Linked DNA regions of Oryctolagus cuniculus. The protein of the gene in region 1 interacts with the protein of each later gene in a biochemical or structural test. Links are inferred from orthologs where the notes say so. Each region holds a gene or a part of one and is shown on either strand. Other genes may lie near its edges. The genes, in order: FLT1 and PGF.

The links.
Region 2: the proteins of FLT1 (region 1) and PGF are reported together in a solved structure, tested with the Homo sapiens proteins (2 studies listed by BioGRID and IntAct, with this or other methods). The link is inferred for Oryctolagus cuniculus from reciprocal best matches to the Homo sapiens genes FLT1 and PGF.

Annotation. Positions count from the first base shown.
Region 1 is NC_091440.1:86,019,483-86,024,040, reverse strand, and holds the start of FLT1 (vascular endothelial growth factor receptor 1), read right to left. Parts: upstream 3,077-4,558; 5' UTR 2,793-3,076; intron 2,782-2,792; exon of another isoform or gene 2,578-2,781; intron 2,455-2,577; 5' UTR 2,149-2,454; coding exon 2,085-2,148; intron 1-2,084. UniProt on the Homo sapiens protein: Tyrosine-protein kinase that acts as a cell-surface receptor for VEGFA, VEGFB and PGF, and plays an essential role in the development of embryonic vasculature, the regulation of angiogenesis, cell survival, cell migration, macrophage function, chemotaxis, and cancer cell invasion.
Region 2 is NC_091451.1:21,008,953-21,013,398, reverse strand, and holds the start of PGF (placenta growth factor), read left to right. Parts: upstream 1-1,390; 5' UTR 1,391-1,729; coding exon 1,730-1,804; intron 1,805-2,908; coding exon 2,909-2,951; intron 2,952-4,446. UniProt on the Homo sapiens protein: Growth factor active in angiogenesis and endothelial cell growth, stimulating their proliferation and migration. It binds to the receptor FLT1/VEGFR-1. Isoform PlGF-2 binds NRP1/neuropilin-1 and NRP2/neuropilin-2 in a heparin-dependent manner.

The DNA.
Region 1 (4,558 bases):
TTTGCTGCAGGGTGTTTGTTAACCAGCCCAGAAGGCACACACTGTGCAATCACAAACAGAACTTTCTTCACGCCCCCAGGTAAAGAAAGTGGTTCTCACCTGGCCGATGTTTGTGCCCCATTCTTCCTACAATGTCTAAAATCTTCTTAAAAGCCCCAAACAAGTACCAAGATTTCTGTTCTATTTAAGAAAGTTATAGTCTAAGAGGACCCACTTCACATTCCCGTAAAGCTTCCACTCCTCCAAGATGTTCTCAATCATGAAGCTAACTTCACGAAAAATCAGCCACGTTTTTGAAGCAAGGATATATACATTCGCGGTACTCCCAAAAGGTCGTGGAAAAAGGAATTAAAAGAGCAATTTATTTTTGGTGCACAAAGAAATGGAAATCCCTGCCATTTTCTCATAGAACACATTTTCCATAAACTTTTTGAAGATCCTGTGGTATGTGAGAATCCAATAAAATGTGTACTTTTCCCACTACAGCGTTGGCTTCACAGTAATTTACCTAGATTTACCTTTACATAGTCGAGGAATGAACCAGGTAAATTCCCTAAGCAATTGAATTTTAGCATAAGCGACTTTTCAAAAAACAAGATACACCTCTACGAAATGAAAACACAAGCTCTGATTTAATGTGCTAATTTTGGGATCTGTCCCAACCTCCGCTGAGGGCTCAGCCACTACCGCTTCTCTCTGCCTCCCGCCTGAGCAGCGTCACCGACTTGCCAGGGACCTGTCACTTAGAAACCCGCGATCACAGCAGTCTTCGCATTGAGAAAGACTGTTTGCTCCTGCCTTGCGGGTTTAACAAGCCTGGTGTCTTTTTGGTTTTTATTACGCTCAGCCTTCTTGCCTTCTTCCTGCGAAGGGCTGCAATGATTTATTTTACGTTTTTCTATTTTATGTCACTGCCTCTTTTACCTTTTCTCCACGATCCTGAAAAGGAACGCGCCGGGCGGTCTGCTCCTTAGGCGCTCAGAGTGCCGAACGCACCGGGCTGGGCTCCCTGCTTCACCGAGCGGAGACCTGGAGTGCGATCCCCCGTGTCCCCTGGGCTGTGACCCCTCGCGGCAGCTGTCTCCACGCCAACTGCCGCTAAAACCTCCGCGCCCCTGCCTGACCTTTCCGCCGCCCCTGTCCCAAAAGCCCGACTGACTTCGGTGGCGGCGCCGACAGGACATCACCGATTTCCACTCAAAATGTAAAGACCGGACTTACAACGTCAAACCCTGACGCTGTTTGGGCCCTCGCCCGCCTTCGGGGGTCAGGGTCGCTCCCCGCCGGCGACCTGCGCTGGACGGCACACCCTGCCTGCTCCGCGCAGGGGTCCCAGCTTGGTGGCTGCGCGCAGCGCGCTCAGGACCCCTGGTCGGCTCCGGGCTGGGCGCTGCGGGAGCTCCCAGAGCTCCTGGGGACGGTCCGGCTTGTTGGGACAGTTTCGCCGGTCCAGAGACACCAGCGCTGGCCCGGTCCCTGGATGCGCCCGCTCTACGCAGGCACCAGCACGCTCCTGTCTGGCTCTCCTGCTTCCCTCTCGCTGTGCGAGGTCCTGGCCAGTGCCCAATATTGCCAACGCCCTGATCGCCTCCCACTCCCGGGCAGCCTTGCAGGCGTTCCGTAGCCGCTGCTGTTGGTCCCGGAGGGCCCCGCAGACCCGCGCCAGGCAGCCAAGGACAGGTTCTCGTTGCCAGGTCAGCCCGAGTGTGCGGTGCTCCCCGTGCCCACATCCTGGATGGGCTAGGTCCTGCCCCGGAGCAGGGCAGAGAATCCTGCTTTAAAGGGGCAGCCCCAGTGCCAAACTCGGGCGCGCTGCAGGCGGCGGGTCTGGGCGGTGATGCCCGCGGGCTCCGGTCAGCCACTCTCTTAGGAGCCCACTTGGAAAAAAAGGCAACGCGGTCCCGGGCGTACCCGCCGCAACTGTCTCCGGTTCCCGCCGGGCTCGCTTCTCGCGGCTGCAGCCTCGCCTGCCTTCCCCACGTATGCACCTGGCCCCGACTCGGGGGGCGAAGGGGGCTTGGTCTCTGCTCCATGGCCGTCCCAGCCCAGCGCCGCTCCGGCCCCGGCCCCCTGCCGCGCCTCACCTGTGAGAAGCAGACAGCCGAGCAGCGCGCACAGCAGGACCCCGGTGTTCCAGCAGCTGACCATGGTGAGCGCGAAGCGGCCTGCTCGCCCCCGGTGCCTGCGCTCCTCGCGGCCGACCACCCGGTCGCCAGCACTCGTCCTCCCGCGCTCCGCCGCCGCCTCAGCCCGCCGCGCGCGCTCCTGTCCTGCGCCCGGAGCGCTCCTCTCCGCGGCTCCAGCCAGGAGACAACCACTTCCTCGGCCACTCCTCGCCGCCCGGCACTCCGCTGGCCGCTGTCCCCGAGTCCCGGAGCCGCTCCGAGCTGCCGCCGCTGCTGAGGAGGAACTGAGAAGAGTGTCCGCCTGGCGCGCTCCGAGCCTCCCGCGGACCTAGATTGAGAGGAGAGGAGGGCGGGGGCGATTTATAACCTTTCCCCAGCCCACTTCCTACCCCGGCACCTCCTTCTAGTGACGTCAAGGGGTCTCCCACCCCTCATCCGCCTCCCCACCTACCCTCTTCTTCCTCCCAGGCTCGCTTCCCTGCGGCCCAGGAGAGGGGCGGGGGCCGGGGGACCCGGCGCCGGGCGCGCGAGGGGAGGCGCTGGCCTCGCGGGCCCGGGAGCTCGGCCCCGGCAGGTTCAGGGTCCTCGCTCCGTGCCCTCCTGCCCCTGCCCCCTCCCGCTCCTCGCGCTCAGGAAATCCTCGCAGGCTCCCTCCGCCCGGCTTACTCAGCTCTGGGGGCCGCCAGACACTGGGGAGGGGACAGGGCTGGAGCTCAGCCGCCCGGCTCTCGGGCCGGGAAGTCCGATCCAAGGGAAGCTGGCCGCGCCTCCGAGACCGTGTCCTTGGCACCGAGGAGCGAGGCGCAGTCCGGCTCACTCGCTCTGCCTGCTTCTCTCGCGCTGCCCCCGCCGCCCCTGACCCCGCCAGACTGTCCCGAGAAGTCTCAGAAGGTGCCAGAGACCCTCAGTACGAGTCACTGACCAGGAGCGCCCGAGAGGACCGGACGCCCGCCTGGCACCTGGGGAAAGACTGCGAACCGGCTCGGGTCCCAAGGGAGCGCGTCTGAGACTTTTTCGGCGGTACCGAAGCACCCGCCCAAGTCATTTCCTCAATCCCCTGCTTCCCAGAAGCAAAACAAGGAATAGCATCAGGATACCTTTAATTAAAAAAAAAAATTAAAAGGCGCGGAGGCTGAAAAACTCCCCTACAACTCCTGAGGGCCCAGTACTTCGCTTCCCAAAGACTGGGAAATGCTATCGGACTGGTGGCAGCTGGCTACGCAGGACGAGTGACTCTGCTACTCTTAGAACTAAACCAGGCGACGTGAGGTACTAGATCATTTGTCAGGACACTCATTCCACGCTCTGCCTCAGCTGGGTCTCCAGCACCCCCAAGGCTGGGGTCATCCTGGGCCCCACCGAGCGTTGCGGTCTCACCTAAGTCCCACAGGTTTGAAAAAGCAGATGGCCACGATAAAGACACTGCGTGGCTCCTGAACGGGACTGGTGAGTCTTCCTGAAGGAATGGACGACCTCCCCGCCTCAGGGAGCTTGGGCAACGCGAAATTGCCACATCTTGGGCCACACGGCAAGGAGAGCTGCCGCCCGACGGCTCCCCGCAGGAGACCCGGGTCCGGCCCTGGAAGCTAGGGCACCTGCACCTGCGCTGCCATCCTTCCATCCCCCATGGTTCCCCGGAGGTGTCATGGTTCACGTGCTGCTTCCCAGCCCTTTCTAATGCTCCTTATCCCTCTGGCTCGCGGCCCCCCCCCCTCCTTTTTTTTTCTGCCTCCAGCCCAGGTGATTCCTCCAAACCACTGAAAGGAGTGGGGGTGGGGGGTTGAGAACAGGGTTTTCCCCAGCCCATCCCCCAGCCCGGAGACAGGCTGGGGCACACGCAGAGCCACGTTGACCCTCTGCCTCATCTCATTCCCTCACCCTCTCCCTAAGAGAAGCTGGCAGTCCTGCCCTCCTCCTGCTGCACCCACGGGGGCCAGGCTTTGTGCCAGGGCACAGCCCTAGGATGGAAAGACCCTATCTCTGCCTTCTAAGGGGCTGGGAGTGTGGGCAGGGGGCCATGGCTTGGGGCCCCCAGGACAATGCTGGAGGGGAGTGAGCTTTTCAGGAGAGACCTTGGGCTGCTCTAGGGGAAAGAGGCTCAGCATGCAACAGCCAAAGGTTTACTTTCACTGAATCCATTTTTTTTCACGTGCTCTTTTTAAATTTTTTTTAAACACACAGAGATAGCACTTGCCAAATCTGCCACCAGAGTTTAGGCTGCATCAAGTCTGTAAAGCAAGAACAGGTATTGGAGGGACAGCTGGAGCAATCTTTACCATCGGATACACTCATTAAAAATACTAAAGCATTGCCTAATTATTTAGGGTTGAGTCATGGTTGGATCGAACTTAGATTAATGTGAATATCGTGCTGTGATTAGTGTCCTTTAGAAACTTTATTCTTTTGAGAAGCTGCAGGTTTTTGCATTAGTC
Region 2 (4,446 bases), on another chromosome or scaffold:
CTGCACCCGGGCTGGTCCCAGGAAGGACTCTGTGTATGCGACAGCCCCTAGCATGTTGGAGCTCGTCGGAACATTCTTAGCTGGCGAGTGGCTGGTCCCTGGCTTTGGGTCTCTGGGACAGGCAAGGAGACATGTCTCTGGCAGCCCCTCGTGGGTGGGCAGGCAGGCGGCGGGCGCAGAGGTCACGGGGGTGAGAGCCGGGCTGCCGCCCTGGCCTCCCTGCTTCTGGCTGGAATGTGAGCTGCTGGGCCACCTCCCAGGCCTGTCTCCTCCCCCACAGCCATCCACCAGCCCCAGGCTCAGCCAGCTTGCTGGGATCTTGCAGCCAGGGAACAAACCGCAGGGATGGGTGAGGTGATGGTAGTGAAGAAGCGAACAGACCAGGCACACGTGCACACAGATGAGCAGTCACGCACCGAAACCTGTCCAGATATGGGCACGCAGAGAAAGACACACATGAGCAGAGACAGAGGCAGCCAGACACAGAAATAAACACTCAGATCTACTTGCACACTGTCCAGGGACACAGCAGAGGGACACACACAGAATCACACCCAGGTACGCAGCACACAGAGCTGCAGCTGGAGGTAAGCAGTGGGCACACACAGGCTGGGACACATAGCACACGTATCTTCAGCCACGTGGACCTGCACAGACACACACAGACCTCCCCACGCATTGATGCCCGCAGTTCCTCCAAGGCCAGGAGGAGAGGCAGGCTTGGCCACCCTGCTCCCCAGGGGGCAGACTGCTTCCCCAGATGGACCCCCAGCCAGGAGCCCCAGGCGTTTCCGTTGCCCGTGGGTGGTGCACAGCTGCCCAGCAATGCGGTCTAAGTGTCTGGCCCCAAGGCAGTGGGTCAGGTGTCGAGGGTTCTGGAGTTGCATAGTAGCTCGGGTCTGTCTCTGCAGGTCCTCATACCCACATACCCTTCCCCAGGGTGTGCTCGTCTCTCTGCTGGGCACGTGCAGGCAGGAGCACCCTCTGAGACCCGGGGTCTTCATCCCTCCAGGGGCTAGCCATCCTGGGGGTCCGGGCTGCGGCCCCTGCCAGGCGGCTGAAGTCTCAGCTTGGACGGCTGGCCCCACCCGAGGTGGCGGTCGCATAACAGCCTGCACGCAGCTGGGGAGCCCCGGGTGGGCAGGCACGGGCAGTTCGGCAGGGTGTAGGGGCTACGTAGGCAGCGCCCCTTCCTCGCTCTGCACGGTGGAGCGCGCTGGGGGGCCCGCCGCCGTCCCAACCCCCGCCCCCTCTCCTCTCGGGCAGGGCTCTCAGCTCGGCTCTCGGCAGCTCCCGCGGCTGCGAGAACGGAGCCTCGGTGGGCGGGGCCGGCCTGGAGCCCCGCCCCGATGCACAGCCCAGAAACCCTGTCGCCGACAGCTTCAGAAGGGAGCTGCTGTCTGAGCAGGAAACTGCATCTTCAGACAACTGCCCGGCCGCCAGGAGGACCGGAGGACGCACGCGGCGCCCGACGGACCCTCCCGGGGACCCGCCTGTCCCGCCCCGCCGCGCGCCACCGGGCCACGCCGCGGCAGGTTCCCCAGCGCAGCCGTACCTGTGGGCTCCTGACTCCCCGGGGCGTCCAGAGGATGCTGAGGCCGGCGGCGGCCTCGGAGCAGCGCTGAGGGCACGGCCTGCCCCCTCCCCGCGCCTCTGCTCCGGTGCAGGGCCCGGGGGACGAGCATGGTTGTTTCCCCCTGGAGCACCCTGGCTCTGGAAGTCTGAGCCGATGCCCACCATGAGGCTGTTCACTTGCTTCCTGCAGCTCCTGACCGGGCTGGCACTGCCCGCCGTGCCCCCACAGGTAAGAACATCCCTCTTCCCAGCCTGGCCGGCCGGGTCTGCCCATCCCAACACTCCGGGCAGGGGGCTCCAAGGATGCCCGCAGGCTTCCAGGGGTTTGGCACTGGACTCTTGACCTCTGGAGCTAGTCCCAGGTGGGCTGTCCCCAGCGTGGGGCTGGGGGCTGTCTTGGCAGGAGGGAGGGGAGGGAGAAGCTCCCTGTCTGGTTCCTGGAACCCTCACTGCTTTGCTAAAAGCATCTGTCCACTGATCCCAGCCAGGTCCCCGGCCTTGTGGTCAGGGTGGAGTCCCTGTGACCAGCCAGGCGTCCCCAGAACCTCTGACCTGGCCTGGTAGGGCGGAAGCTGGACCAAGAGGCTGGTGGTGGAGAGCCCAGGCCCTGCCCACCAGAGGGGCTCTCTACAGAGTTTGGGTGGAGGTGGGAGTTTGGGAGGTGGGCTGGCAGTGAGACAAGGGGTCCCACTCTGCCCTCCATCCCTAGCTGGGGGGCCAGAAGTCCTGCATGAGGGGCCTGGGGAAGTGAGCAGGACCCTTTTCCCAGGAGCCGGGTGAATCTGGCTGGTAGCCAGCTTGGGCATCGCAGTCCTGACAAAGCCAATGAGCTCCCTTCCCACTGCGCTACCCCGGGAGTCCCCAGCCAGAGCCCAGGGGTGGGCTGGACTGGCCAGTCCAGCCGCCTGCCTGCCTGCCTGCTGCAGGGCTGGCCAGAGGTGTAACGTTACCAGCAGCACCAGCTCCTGGCGCCACCGGCTCTGGCCCCTCAGCTCCCACCAGCTGATCACCGCCTCTGGGCTCTGGCACCCAGCCAAGGCGGGCTGTTCAGGGCCCGGCAGGGCTGGCCTGGGGGGCTGGGTAGAAAGGGAGACCCCACAGGATGGCAAAGGATGTCCTAAAGCTCCAGCCTCCCACCCTTCTCCCAGTGTGGGAAACTGAGGCCAGAGAGGGGCGGGACCCAGCGGAGCCCTGGAGAGAGGCTACTCTGGGAAAGGGCAGAGTACACCGCTCAGGGAGCTCCGAGGGGCCCCTCCCCGCCTCCACCACGTTTGTCCCAGAGCACAGAGCCCCTCGGCAGCCCCCTCTCACGTCTGCACCTTTCTGTCCGCAGCAGTGGGCCCTGTCTGCTGGTAACGGCTCCTCAGAGATGGAAGGTAAGCCAGCCAGCTGGGGCTGTGGGCGCACCCGGTCCCCGCTTCTCTCCTCCCGAGAGGCCGGGAAGGGATGGGTGTGAAGGGTGGGTGCACGCTGATGATATGTTTGGGAGGGTCCATGAGCTGCACATCCTGGCTGCCGAGGCTGGCGGGCCTCAGAGACCCACCCACTCTGACCCAGAGGCCTGGAGAGGGGCATTCGTGGGCCAGGGTCACCGAGCACGCCGAGAGCCCGGCTGCGGCCAGGACAGCCCGGCATCATCCAGCTGGCTCGGAGCCTCTTCCCAGCATGATGTAAGGGTGCAGATGCGATCTTGGAGGGCTGCATGGATAGCGAGTGCCAGGGGCAGCCTGGGGGTCCGGGAGCTGGACACGGAGGGCACGCAGTCAAAGAGGGTGTGCGTGGGGGGCGGTGGGGACAGGCCCTCCCCAGCAGCCCAGCCCTGGCGGAGTGGCAGGGATCTGACCAGGCTTCTCCAGTGATTACAAACAGAACACAAGTCGCGCCCTCCCCGGCCCCTCCACTCCCCGCCCTGGGTTGCATCAGGAGGGAATCTTCAAAGGGCAATGAGGAGACTCTGCCAAAGAGACATACGTGCAGGAGGCGGGAGGCCTGTGCCAGGCCCCCTGCCTCGCTCCTCCCTCCCTGCCTCTCTGAGACGTGCAGGGCAGCCACACACCACTGCCGAGGCTTCCCACGGAGCCGTGGGAGAGGGGCGTGTAGGGACGTGCACACGCACACGCGTGATAGCCGTCTGCGGGCTGGGAACACCCTCTGCTGGCCTGCCTGCTGCCTGCTGCCTCTCAGCCAGGCAGCCAGCCTCTTGTGGGCTGTGCCATGCCTGGGCACCTGGGACCCTTGGCCTCCGGGCAGATAGGGGAGGTAGCTGCCCTTGGTTTCACTGGTGGTGCTAGGGTTTGGGGAGGGACCCATCCCTCACCTCCACATAGTACCCTCTTTCGTGCTTTTAGTCTAATTCAGGCAATGTCTGCGCCTCAGTTTCTGTATCTGTAAAATGGGAACAGGAGATTACACGACAGCTAAAGTTCTTTCTTTTTCTAAGATTGCAGCATTCTCAAGTCCAAGGAGGAGGCATGGGCGGATGTATCTCCCAGCATCCGGGGTGGGAGGCTGAATGGTGGCCCCAGGAAGTTCAATGGGCTGTGGACCCCAGTTCTCACAATCTGACAATGCCGTCCTCTCGTGAGGGACTGCATGGTCCTGCCTTGTATGGGCATTCTGTGCCTCTGGGAGCAGCACAGGGCTAAGCCCAGGTGCCCAGCGGCTCAGTGGCTGTACAGGGCGTCCCCCGGCAGGCCGGGCACCTGCCGGGCTCTTCCAGCCCTCGCCCCCCCCCCCCAGCAGCCTGGGCAGAGGCTTACTCCCAGGATAACACATTTCCTTTCTTGAATCTCCTCCCTCCTGGGCCGTAGGTAGCCAGGGCCAGAAGGGAGACTCGCCCACAGGGCTGGCCAGGGAGCTGAGAGCCCTTTT